Linked DNA regions of Oryzias latipes. The protein of the gene in region 1 purifies or fractionates together with the protein of each later gene. This does not show direct contact. Links are inferred from orthologs where the notes say so. Each region holds a gene or a part of one and is shown in the gene's direction. Other genes may lie near its edges.

The links.
Region 2: the proteins of map2k2 (region 1) and ksr2 purify together in Homo sapiens (affinity purification with mass spectrometry; 3 studies listed by BioGRID and IntAct, with this or other methods). This does not show direct contact. The link is inferred for Oryzias latipes from reciprocal best matches to the Homo sapiens genes MAP2K2 and KSR2.
Region 3: the proteins of map2k2 (region 1) and ksr1 purify together in Homo sapiens (affinity purification with mass spectrometry; 4 studies listed by BioGRID and IntAct, with this or other methods). This does not show direct contact. The link is inferred for Oryzias latipes from reciprocal best matches to the Homo sapiens genes MAP2K2 and KSR1.

The regions. Positions count from the first base shown.
Region 1 is NC_019862.2:7,813,838-7,818,008, reverse strand, and holds the start of map2k2 (dual specificity mitogen-activated protein kinase kinase 2), read left to right. Parts: upstream 1-1,360; 5' UTR 1,361-2,024; coding exon 2,025-2,113; intron 2,114-2,284; coding exon 2,285-2,495; intron 2,496-3,540; coding exon 3,541-3,687; intron 3,688-3,764; coding exon 3,765-3,842; intron 3,843-3,929; coding exon 3,930-3,981; intron 3,982-4,171. UniProt on the Homo sapiens protein: Catalyzes the concomitant phosphorylation of a threonine and a tyrosine residue in a Thr-Glu-Tyr sequence located in MAP kinases. Activates the ERK1 and ERK2 MAP kinases.
Region 2 is NC_019867.2:3,439,333-3,443,600, reverse strand, and holds the start of ksr2 (kinase suppressor of Ras 2), read left to right. Parts: upstream 1-1,333; 5' UTR 1,334-1,451; coding exon 1,452-1,625; intron 1,626-4,268. UniProt on the Homo sapiens protein: Location-regulated scaffold connecting MEK to RAF. Has very low protein kinase activity and can phosphorylate MAP2K1 at several Ser and Thr residues with very low efficiency (in vitro).
Region 3 is NC_019872.2:17,293,258-17,296,906, reverse strand, and holds part of ksr1 (kinase suppressor of Ras 1), read left to right. Parts: intron 1-13; coding exon 14-154; intron 155-3,649.

The DNA.
Region 1 (4,171 bases):
GTGATTCTTCTGGGTGACAAAACGCTGAGTTCAGCAGCAGCTCTGGACGCCGCCGCTGTGGCCAACATGTTCCACGTGTGAGTCTGTTCAGGACGATGAAACTGTAACATAAAGAAATGTATTCTAACAGCTGTTATTGACGTGTTGAATTAATAAAATCTGTTCTTAAAAAACATCTTCGCCTCTTTTCTGGAACTGTGTGACCTGAGTCTCAACTTCTGCTCTGGGAGGAGCTGCCCACCTTCAGGAGGCATTTGCTCCTACTCCAGTGGTTCCTTCTCTTTTTTTCTGTGTCTCCTCCATCCTAAAGAAGCGTCAGCTGTGGTCTATCAGGTTCAGACTGAACTGCTCTAGGTTTGCTTCACTAAACGGGTGGTTTTGGTTGCAGCGCTGACTGTTCATCCTCTAATTTATCTCGGATGAAACGCCGCCGTCTTCTGAAAACCTGCTGAGACGTTTGCATGATGGCACCAAACTTCAGCAGAGATCTGCTCTTTGGAGATGTGTGCAGCTGAGTCTCTATGAAAAACACGTTTGATGAATCTTCTGAAGTTTACGTTTGAAAAGTCAAAGTCTCCAGAACTGCAGGGTTGATGGGCTGAAGCCGAAAGGCAAACCGGTCAATTAGCTGAAATTACATTTACACAATAGATGATTTTCTGCATTAAGATGCCAGCACCCCTTTATAGAAGTGTTTCTATAGCACAATTAAAAATAAAGTACCAGAAATGCTTATTCGTTATCAAAATGAAGCTGCAAAAAGAAAAAGCAATCCACCAAACTTCTTTTTCTTCTTCACTGCTCATTCTGTCACTTAATTCAAAGGATAAAGAAAATATTATTTGACATTTCATTTTCAAAAGGTTCTCTGGTAAATGTGTAGCAAAATATTTGCAGGGTGGATGTTAAAATGAAAATGCAATCCCCCCTTTGCTTATTTGTTTAAATAATGACACAGAATAAGTGGTTTTTATGTTGAAAATGAAAAAGCATTTTGAAGTATTGATTTTTCATTTTATTTTTGAGTCATTAGATGTAGTTACCTTTTGAAAATTAAAAAGCATATCTGTAAATCCATTTTAATTGTCAAATTAGACATTTCTAAATGAATTTTGCTACACATTCGGTCAATATCATTTGAATTGAGTAAGAACATGCAGTGTTGAAGAAGAAAATGAAAAAGAATTTTGGTGGATTGCTTTTGAGTCAAAAAATGCAGCTTCATTTTGAAAATGAAAAAGCATTTCTGGTTTTGACGATTATTTTTGATTATGCTACACAAATGCTTCCATATATTCTGTGACATTCTTTGCATGACTGCACTTCTCTCTTTGGCCGCGGGATGGCGGTGTTTCCCAAGAAGCCTGTTTGTCTGCGGACATAAACGCGCAGAAAAGCTGCAGTTTGGTGTCCGACCAAACCCCTCCTCAGCGCCGCGCGAGCCTTAGAAAAACCTTTATGTCCCTGCACCCGCACTTCGACTTCCACTGGGATTCTGGTAATCTGTCACTCAGCGGGTTCGCCGCTGTACCACAGCCCCATCGCCGTAGGCAGCTGCTGCTTCCTGTATTGAGGCACCGGGGTCAGGAGCGGAGCCACGCGCGTTCAGCAGTCGTTCCTCGCGGACTGAAACCAGGACGAACTACAGTTTGGAGGCTGTGGTGAAGTGGGCGCCGCCTTTTCGAACCTCGGCCGCAGGTGACTCTTGGACGCGGGGGGAGCTGCTGCTGCGTGTCGGGACTCGGACGTTTGTTGAGGGACTGGCGCGACCTGCTAGCAGCTAATGGCTAGCAGCAGATAGATATCTAGAAAATCCAGATCCTCCGCGGTTCTCAGGAGAACGGTTCTCCTGATGGTCGCTTTCTCTGAGCTACACTGACATGCCCCCCCCCTAACGGAAGTGAAAGCTAACGTTAGCCAGGAAACTTATTAGCCGCTCACGAGCGCCGAACAAGGAAGAGGTGCCGCGCGGCCGCACTGACTGTTCGCTGCCGGAAGGAACCGTGCGGGAACGATTCCCTGAAATGGCCCCCAAAAGGAGACCCGTTCCCCTGAACATCACACCCATCGGGGAGGGACAGACCACGTCCAACACCATCGATGCTGCGTCCGAGTGAGTCCCGGGGGGGGTTAACAATTTACATTTTTATGCAGATCATGCAGTACCCTGAATCTGCAGGGGGCACTCTTTTGCACAGATCTATCATCTGTAGGGGGGTGTAAACTGTCTCTATCTGTACTTTGACCCCCCCCCCCCCACACACACACACACACCCTTCCCCAGAGCCAACCTAGAGGCCTTACAGAAGAAGCTGGGAGAGCTGGACCTGGATGAACAGCAGAGGAAGCGTCTGGAGGCCTTCCTCACCCAGAAGGCTCAGGTGGGAGAGCTGAAGGACGAAGACTTCGAACCCATCTGTGAGCTGGGGGCAGGAAACGGGGGCGTGGTCAACAAGGTCCGCCACAAGCCCTCGGGTCTCGTCATGGCCCGCAAGGTGAGGACCTCATCTGACGGTTTGGTGAAGAAGGCAATTCTGGAATCTGAAGCCTGACTTTCTCCCAAAGCCCGCCCAATTTTTTCTGCACTGCAAAGTTACCAGCAGCTGCTGCAGACGGGACACAACAAGTCTGCTGCAGCTGCTGCAGGCGGGACTTGACTTGTCTGTGGCTGTCGCAGATGAATGTAACTGATCTGTAGTGGCAGATAAAACACGACCGCTGCAGACGGGCCACGACTCGGTCTGCGCCTGCTGCAGACGGGACACGACTTGGTCTCTTGCTGCTGCAGATGGGACAGGACTTGGTCTCTGGCTGCTGCAGACGGGACACAACAAGTCTGCTGCAGCTGCTGCAGGCGGGACTTGACTTGTCTGTGGCTGTCGCAGATGAATGTAACTGATCTGTAGTGGCAGATAAAACACGACCGCTGCAGACGGGCCACGACTCGGTCTGCGCCTGCTGCAGACGGGACACGACTTGGTCTCTGGCTGCTGCAGACGGGACACGACTTGGTCTCTGGCTGCTGCAGATGGGACATGACTTGGTCTCTTGCTGCTGCAGACAGGACACAACAAGTCTGCTTCAGCTGCTGCAGGCGGGACTTGACTTGTCTGTGGCTGTCGCAGATGAATGCAACTGATCTGTAGTGGCAGATAAAACACGACCGCTGCAGACGGGACAGGACTCAGTCTGCGCCTGCTGCAGACGGGACAGGACTCGGTCTGCGCCTGCTGCAGACGGGACAGGACTCGGTCTGCGCCTGCTGCAGACGGGACAGGACTCGGTCTCTGGCTGACACTCACGAGATCCTCAGACTGGTTAGACGTTCTTCCTCAGGCTGTTCAAGGCCTCCAAGTTCCATCAGAAGACTTAGTTTCCTGTAGTTGTTAGTGGAGGGGCGGTGGGTCGTGTTGCTGAATCTGCTGCCCCCACAGTGATGCACGCCCCCTCAGAAACCATCCAGACGTTCCACTGAGGTACTGCAAGTGTCTATGGTCCTGCAGACAACTCCCACACTGTTCCACCTCTTCCCTCCTTTAGCTAATCCACCTGGAAATCAAACCTGCCATCAGGAACCAGATCATCAGGGAGCTGCAGGTGCTCCACGAATGCAACTCCCCCTACATCGTGGGCTTCTACGGGGCTTTCTACAGCGATGGAGAGATCAGCATCTGCATGGAGCACATGGTGAGACTCTGAGCCTCCAGGATCCCTGAAGACGTCCTGCTGGTTGAGGTTCTCATCCACGTCTTCTGTCTCCACAGGATGGTGGATCCTTGGATCAGGTCCTAAAGGAAGCCCGGAGAATCCCTGAGGAGATTCTTGGAAAAGTCAGCATAGCGGTAAGAGCCTGTGGCTGGGGGGGGGGGTCTGTTCCTCTGGAATGGGTTTGTTCTGCTGCTGGATCTTCTCTGCTGTGTCGTTGGCAGGTGTTGAGGGGGCTGGCTTACCTGCGGGAGAAGCACCAGATCATGCACAGAGGTAACCACGCCTCCAACACCGACAAACATCATGTCTGCTCTTCTGTCCTCATACGCTCGTTGGCTCCTCCTAATATGACGGTAGAACCATTATCATGATGCAACCGGAGCACCACCGCGTGAACAGAACCAACGGTCCAAATGTCAGATCACACCTTTGAATCTGGGAGGAAAACAGCGGCCAGACGTTT
Region 2 (4,268 bases), on another chromosome or scaffold:
AAAACCCCGTCTGTTCTATGTCGCTTCCTTTTGCCGCGCTCGCGACAGAAACGCACGCCAACGTCATGACGTAACACCAACAGAATGTCGTTTTGCTTTCCGGTGGGTGGGATCATGGTGATATGTTGAAGGTAAACTGTAAAAAAAACCACAATATCAATTGAAGAATTTTAATATTTTCTAAAGTAAAGCTTAAAATTGTTTTTTGTTTATTTTATAAACATTTTTGAGTTGATTATCTTGTAAAATAGAAATCTCTGTGTTAGTTTGATATTTATCCGTAGGCGAAAACATTTTTGACCGATTTTCTTGAACATTTCAGAACGAAAATTAATGTGCTGTGGAAATCAGACTAATTTTAAAGATTTGTATAAGACTTTAAAGCATTTAACAGGAAAAAAACAATATTTAATCCCCTGATGTACATACATTTCTATCTAACTTGTGCAATAAGTATTTCGTAAAATAGGTAAATTAAATTAATAGAAAAATACACAAGTTTCTTAATCTGTTTGGTTTTTAATACGTTTCATTTAGAATATACGCTTTAGACGTTAACTATTTAGCTACCTAACCAGGCGACAACCAAAAACAATAAATAAATAAGTAAAACATGCCCCCCCCCCCCCCATTATTTAATAACTTGGGTGAGTACACACAATAAATGTTTTAAAAAATGTTTTCAAATTTTGTTTAACCTTTTAGTTTAACAGGCACTTCGTTTGCATTTTAGTAAGATTGCTGAATTATGTTTAATTTGATGAAATATCACCCTGAAAAATAAAGATCATTTGTCGCAGATGATGCGTTTCTCGTCCAGCAGACGAGAACCCACTTGAGCGCGCCGTGATCACGCGAGAGCGGCCCCTTACGGCGGCGCTGCGATGCTGTTGCTGTGGCTTTGATTGACGGGAAACATGTCGGTGTGGTGGGAGCGAACCGGGATGCAGCTGCTGCCAAGGGAGACAGGGAGTACCTGCATCCAATCCGCACATCAGCACCTTTAAAACCGCCAGGTTCTACCCGATCCGGCTGTTTAGGATGCGCTGAGCAGCAAATTTGGTTCCTTTCCCCCCCTTTTTTTTCTCCCCCCCCCCCCCTTCCTCAGCATCCATTAGAACGGAAAGGACGCCCGATGGATGCTGTAGCAGACCGCTCAGCCCCGCTCCGCATCCTCACATTGAGTTTGGTCTAGTTTACATCCTTGATCATCCAGCTGGAGCTGCGAGGACTGTTGTTGCAATGGAGGCGACCCTCTCACGGCTCAAAGCCAGAGTCTAAGCCTGCAGCATCTCTTTCCACTGCGCTGTGCTGGTTGCTCTTTTCCGCGGGCTCCTCCACGTTTCTTTCTTGAATTATCCTCTTTTTTTAACCCTCTGTTCTTCTTCTTCTTTTTTTGTCTTGGAAATACAAACTAAGGGGAAAAAATACCATCCAGCGCGCGCTAAACTATGAACGAGGAGATGACAAAAAGCGAGGAGCAGCATCTCAGTTTGCAGAAAGCCTTGCAGCAGTGCGAGTTGGTGCAGAACATGATTGACATAAGCATTTCTAGTTTGGAGGGTTTACGGACCAAATGTGCCACATCCAACGACTTGACACAAAAAGAGATCCGAACGCTGGAGGTAAGCGGCTCCCTGACTCAATTACTGCTCTGCATCCTCAACTAAAGCATCACCCAGGGCTGTCAGTTTTTACAGGCCACTCTGCACGTTTATGCTGTTTTTTTTTTTCCCAGCAGCAAACTACCCTGGTGCTGTCATTGCATCCATATGCAGGGGCTCCAAGCTCCACAGCCTTTCATCCGTGCGCGCGGCTCTGTCTGTGCAGTGCAATAAATCTCGAGGCCACGGGGCTGCAGTGGGCTGCTGGAGACTTGCGCATTCTGCAGGTGGCGGGAAGAGAAGGTGGCTCTCCTCTTCATCAGATATATACGTGAGGCCTGCGCGTGCAGCCCCGTGTTTACAATCCGTTGCCGGTGTGCCATGCCAGCCTGCGCGCGCTCTGGGCTCATCCCAAACCCAGCCGCCGTTACGCAAGGCGACCAGATTATACCGACAAGGTTACAAAACATCCCTATCCTTTAATTGGCCCGTGGGGGTATTCTGTAAATTACGTTATGTAACGGTCACAATAACCCGGTGTTGCGTTTGAGATGGTCCACCTTTAACCGGCCAGCGGACCTGCTTCAGAGTCAGAGCGCCGCACGCAGGAAGAAAGGTCAGCGTGAGTGCTGCGGACGCAGAGCAGCCATAAACACCTGTGAGAATGTGACGACGCTGTCCCAAGAGATTAAAACAAACAGTATTAAGTGCAATAAGAGGCCCATAAAGCCATCTGAGGTTCTGCACGCCTTCAACACACTCTAACCCCCCCCCCCCCCCCCCCAGGGGGATTAACAGAACTGAAAAGCTACATTCGAGACCATAAAGTCACCTGAAAGAGAGAGAGTGCTGCACACATCAACATGCTGCTCTAATGCTTCATGTCTGAGCTCTTCATTGAGGAGACACTTAATCCATAAACATGGAGCACAAACATCAGGCTGGAAAGTGCAAAGCAAACAGGAACGTTGTGAGAATTATATTATGCACTTGCAAAGGTTATAATTTTTTAAAGATGAATGAAGATCAAACATAATGGTGGGGTTGTTACAAATCTAGCTTTCTTTTAAGGCCGTCCCTGATGAAAATTGTGTTTTCTGTGTTTTTCACATGATCTTGTGGCATTTTCTTTCTGATGAAGGAGGACATTTCTTAAAAAAACTAAGATCAAAATAGCATTTCGGAGTATTTCTTTTTTTTTCAAATCATCGTGAATCCGGAGTAGACAAAAAACGGAAAAGGTTTTGGGTTTGTATAACAGCAAGCCTCAAACCCCCTGCTCCGCTCCATCCTGATGCATCCACTTGTAGATGACATGTACATCTTCGTTTTCCTCGTCTGAACTGGCATCTGGCTTAAAACTGCGGCTGGATAGCGCCAATATTTCTCACCATTTTTGTTAAACCCACAATGTCACGTTGGGGTGATGAGGGGCTGTAAGCCAGTGGGAGAGTGTGTAAACAAAGGGATGATGGGAAACGCAGCACTCTTGTCCTTCACTAAATCATATTTATTTTCTGATAATTAATGATTTCTAGAAATCTTACTTGCAAGGTAACCATTGCTTGTTAGAGCAAAGTCCCAAAACATTTGTAATTTATTAATGTGTTGTAACACATGTAACTATAAACCACCTGCTTTACCTTAGATCACATAAATTAAACCTTGTTTCAAAACATTTTATTGATTTGATCAGTGATTTCTGCCTTCGTGGAGAATCTAGGAAATCATTTCTAGGTCAGATGTTCGTGATGTTCTGCAGCTTGTGTCTTCAATTCCAGCGTGTTGTGTCTGTTTGATATTATTCATCTTAAGTTGGCAGGACTTTAGGATTTCTGGCGGTGGTTTCAAACCGTCCTCAAAGGCTGAACGTGGTCATTTTTCTGAACCTTGACAGCAGTTCTTGCATTTGTTTACCAGTTTTTCTTGAGTTTCACTCATCTTTTAAAGTATTTTTGTGACCTTTGTTTACTACATAGGGAAACATTATGGATCATTTTCAGAAATATTAACTTTTTTTTTTTTTTACTTTTGTCGTGAATTAGGAAGAATTACCCGTCAGGAGCTAACTAAAAAGCCTTTGGTTACGTTCAAATTCACTGACTACTCCCTAAACCCCAAAAACTACTCTTACCACTTTTCTTTAAGGCGAAATATGACATCACCCATTTTACAAAGTAACAGCCTAATAATAATAATAATAATAATAATAATAATAATAATAATAATAATAATAATAAATTTATTTCAAGCGCCTTTCAGGTCACCCAAGGTTGCTGTACAAGGTTAAAAATAAGACATAAGAATAAAACATCAATAAGAAATTATCAGAGTAAAACATGAGTAAACATATAAACATAATAAATGTTAACACTTTACAAAGATTAAGTATAACACTTGAGTTCTGATGATGAAAACTTGGATGATTTATAAAAAGAAATGTACACACAGTTTTTTAAAAATAAAAGAAATGGTTCAAATGCAATGCATTGTGGTCTATAGTTGCCAATTGAGTGAGCATCAATCATTGGTTGTATCCAAATTCCTTCACTACTTACTACTTATTGCACTACATAGGGTACTCGCCATTTTGTCGTGGTTCCCAGAAGTCTGCAAAAAAAATAAGTGTGCATCGATGGTCACCATTGGCAAATATAAACCACA
Region 3 (3,649 bases), on another chromosome or scaffold:
TTGCTCCCTGCAGGTGAAGCTGATGAAATACATCTGTAAACAGCTGCAGTGCAAGCACAAAGTGCCAGAGACAGACAGGCCAGAGGCCCTGGAGAGCTACCCTCACTTGCGAGACTGGCTGCGCACCATCAACCTGCGGACAGAACTCATCAAGGTAGGCCGACTTTGTCTGATTGCCAGACTATTCTAGGGAAGGACTGTAGTGTTTGTATTACAAATGGCGTGTTCTCAGAAAATGCAACCAGTGTTACCCGTTCAGTAGGAGTAGGAAGAATTTTATTTTTATTCCTGATAAGTGGCAGAAAACCTGAACTTGAGCCAAAGAGTTTTTGTCCTTTTTTAGCATGCACTGAAGTGCTCAGAGAGCCCATGGAGACTGAAAGAGCTAGACAAAACATTTGTTAATGTTTTGCAATATATAAAAGACTTTTCTTTTTTCCAAGTCCCCAAAATTAAGCTTCCAGTTCTAATTCCTACCATGTTTGCAAGTCTAGAAAGGGCTTTTCCACAGGAGTGTGAGGAATGTCCCAAAAGCAAATGTTTGCTGAAGACTTCACAGGTCCACATGAAAGCTTTCTGGGATTGTTCTGGTCTTCAGTTGAGCGGAGAGGATCCCACACCAATTTGTGAGGGTATTTAAATGATTTTAAACGTAGGATTATTACATCCTTCAGACGACAATGGGTTAAACTGCAGACCGTGCCCTGTGTAAACATAAACTTTCCAGATGACTGAGGGAATATAATTCCTGTTAGAAACTTGTTTGGTTACCTGGATTTTCATTGCCATGTCTGCTGTAGTTTTATATTTTTAGGTGGAGCAACAGTAGAGACTCACACACGACGGAAAACCTTGTATAAAGTTTTTTACTTTTTGTATCCCATCTATTTAAGGCATTTGTGTGTTATTCTTTTCCAAATTTCTCTTTCACTTTCTTTCTATTTTCTCTTATTTTGGTGTGCAGAGAAGCTCCTATTCTTCTTGTCTCATTCCTTTGCTCTATACCTGTTATTAGCAATTATTACCCCTAAACACGACTACGTCAGGAGTTTTCTTTGAGTCAGAAATTTAATGTATTTTGAAAAAATAAGTACTGGCTCTGTGGATGTGGAGCTTTTGTTGCATCCTGATGACCAACTTTGGTCATCATCTCAGATTATTACACTGAAATTTCCACACTGTAACTATTTGTTCTCCACTGCGGGGTCGGTGTTATGTTATGTACATTTCAGAGCCATTAACAGGTATGAGGAGCCTGTACTGACAGCAGCTGTCCAGAGATTGGTACACATTTTCATTTAGCTTTATGCTGGAACTGTGCACAGATAACTATAAAAGGGGTTTCTAAACGAGCTAATCTATAGGGTTAACAGGTGTGCAGTGTTGGATGACTGTTGCATTTCCGCCCAGCAACAGTGCATGACGGAGTAAGACCTCAAGAAAGCGATCATTTGTAAGTGTTCTGTCGGTTGCATCGGAGATGTTGCAAATGATGAGGTGGGAGGAGTCACAGCAGTTTTAAGTACAACATCTCCCGCTCTTGCTTAGCCTCTCTGTGCGATAAAGTCTTGCTTGTAGTTTACACACGTGTGGGAGGTTGCCCTAGTTTTGCAATCAGTGTTTCTCTACTTAGAGTAAAGGTTTAACTGAGCCATTAAATCGGCACATGCAGTAAAGAAAACCTCTTATCTCAGGTAGTGGTTATTAATCATAAATACTCCATGAAACTATGTCAGGTTTATAGGAAAGGTTGTGTTTTTCTCATGTTGGCAGGAAAGATATTTATTGGCCATTGTTTCATATCAATCTGTTTACGTTTATCACGGCTATTCCACCATGATTGTACATTACTCACATGGTTTGAGATCTGATCACTCTGGAAACAACCCATCCACCATGACATTATAACTGCATTCTAAACAGTTGACTGTATACGAGAACTGGACTGAGTCAGTGTGACATCTCCCATTACTTTCAGCTCCAACGATATGAAGTCAATTCAGTCCCCATTTAGTCTCGATATGGATGCCACCATGTTGGAACCAGACAACAGCAGTAGGCATCAGTTGGTATGAGTCAGTCTCAGTCAACATTTCTATGGCAACCAATCAGGAGTGAGCTTGTTGGAAGTCCACACCCCACACAAAATGGGCTTGGGAGAATCTGTCAATCACACGTTTTGAAGATGCAACGTAAGACCTCATACTTTCATTGACGCGCCCGATTGGCCAGTTCAGAACTTTAGTAAGTTGCACCACAGAAAAACTTTGTATTAGCAAGAACATGTTAAAAAAGATAGCAGAGCAAGAATGGCTATTCTGACTAATAGAATGACTGAGTATTAGCTATTTATGAGAAGTAAATGGAATTTTCCTTCTTGGAGCCAATTTGGTACTTCCTATTTGGAACGTGACGTTGAAGGACTCCGTCCAGTTCTCACATACAGTCAATGTTCTAGAAAGTAGTTTTAAAAAAATTATAACCTTTTAATACTTGCACTGTTATCAGAAAGGGGTAGACCTGCTAATTACGGTAGCAAGAACCACAAGGGGTTTACTTTTCACTTCAAAATTAGGAGCCAAAAATGTACCAAGAAGTCATACCCCATATAATAACACCATCGCCAGGAGAGTGATGCTTCAATCAAAGTAAACTTAATCCTTTGTGTTATGGTTATGAATGAACAAAAACTCATTATACAAGATATTTTTTTTCCCTCGTCGATTGAGAAATGTGTTGAGTCTGGCAGCACTTTTAGCCTAAGTTTGTCACTATTGGCTGATTTTTCATAATCCTTGGACAATTATCTTGAAGTTGAACAGATTTTTTTTTTTTTCCAGTTACTGAAATACTACTCGTACCTAAAACCACAGCATCCTCAAGCTATGCGTAACAGTTCCCCTTAATGACTTTTCTCTTCCATTCTGACACTTGGGACCTAAAGAGGAATTGAGCATGTCTTCAAGCCCAAATCCTTTGAACTGTTCACCTTGTGATTGACTGTTTCCATCTGTTGGTAGCTGTAGCAATGAGGTAGTGGTTTAGCTTTGATAGCAAGATGGTAGGTTTAGTTACCACTCTGATTGTAATGAAGTGTCTTAAAGCAGGGCACCGAAGGGCTATAACTGTACATGTCAATTACCAAAACATTAATAGGCGTATTTAAACAGAAGTCTATAAGTTTAAATATTTCTGGCTTTGAGCACTTTGTAAAACGTTTTCAAATCAATTGTAAGCCCAGAAGCATGTTTTCTGTTAGTAGTTTTTCATCACCTGCAAAATATGTATACTGGAAGCCAGAAACATACATCCTAATAAGGAAATCCTCCATTCATCAACATAATTCACTTTATTTCATGTTCAAATGCGGTCCATAAAAGAAGACAGATACAACATACATAGTAAAAATAAATAAATATACCAATAAAAATAGAAAAACAAAACAAAACTACAGTTTACAACCATTTAAAAAGGAGTATAACCTCTGTGCCCAGTGTGGCGGAGTTGAGCGGAATGAGCCTCTTTTAGGATCAGTCAAAAACATAATTGCATTTTTAGACTTGTCCAGGCGCTCCATGAGACTGTATGTAAGCGTACGTAGTAGTGCTTCACAGGTGGGGATGTGAGCATCCAGAAACCACTGACTGGC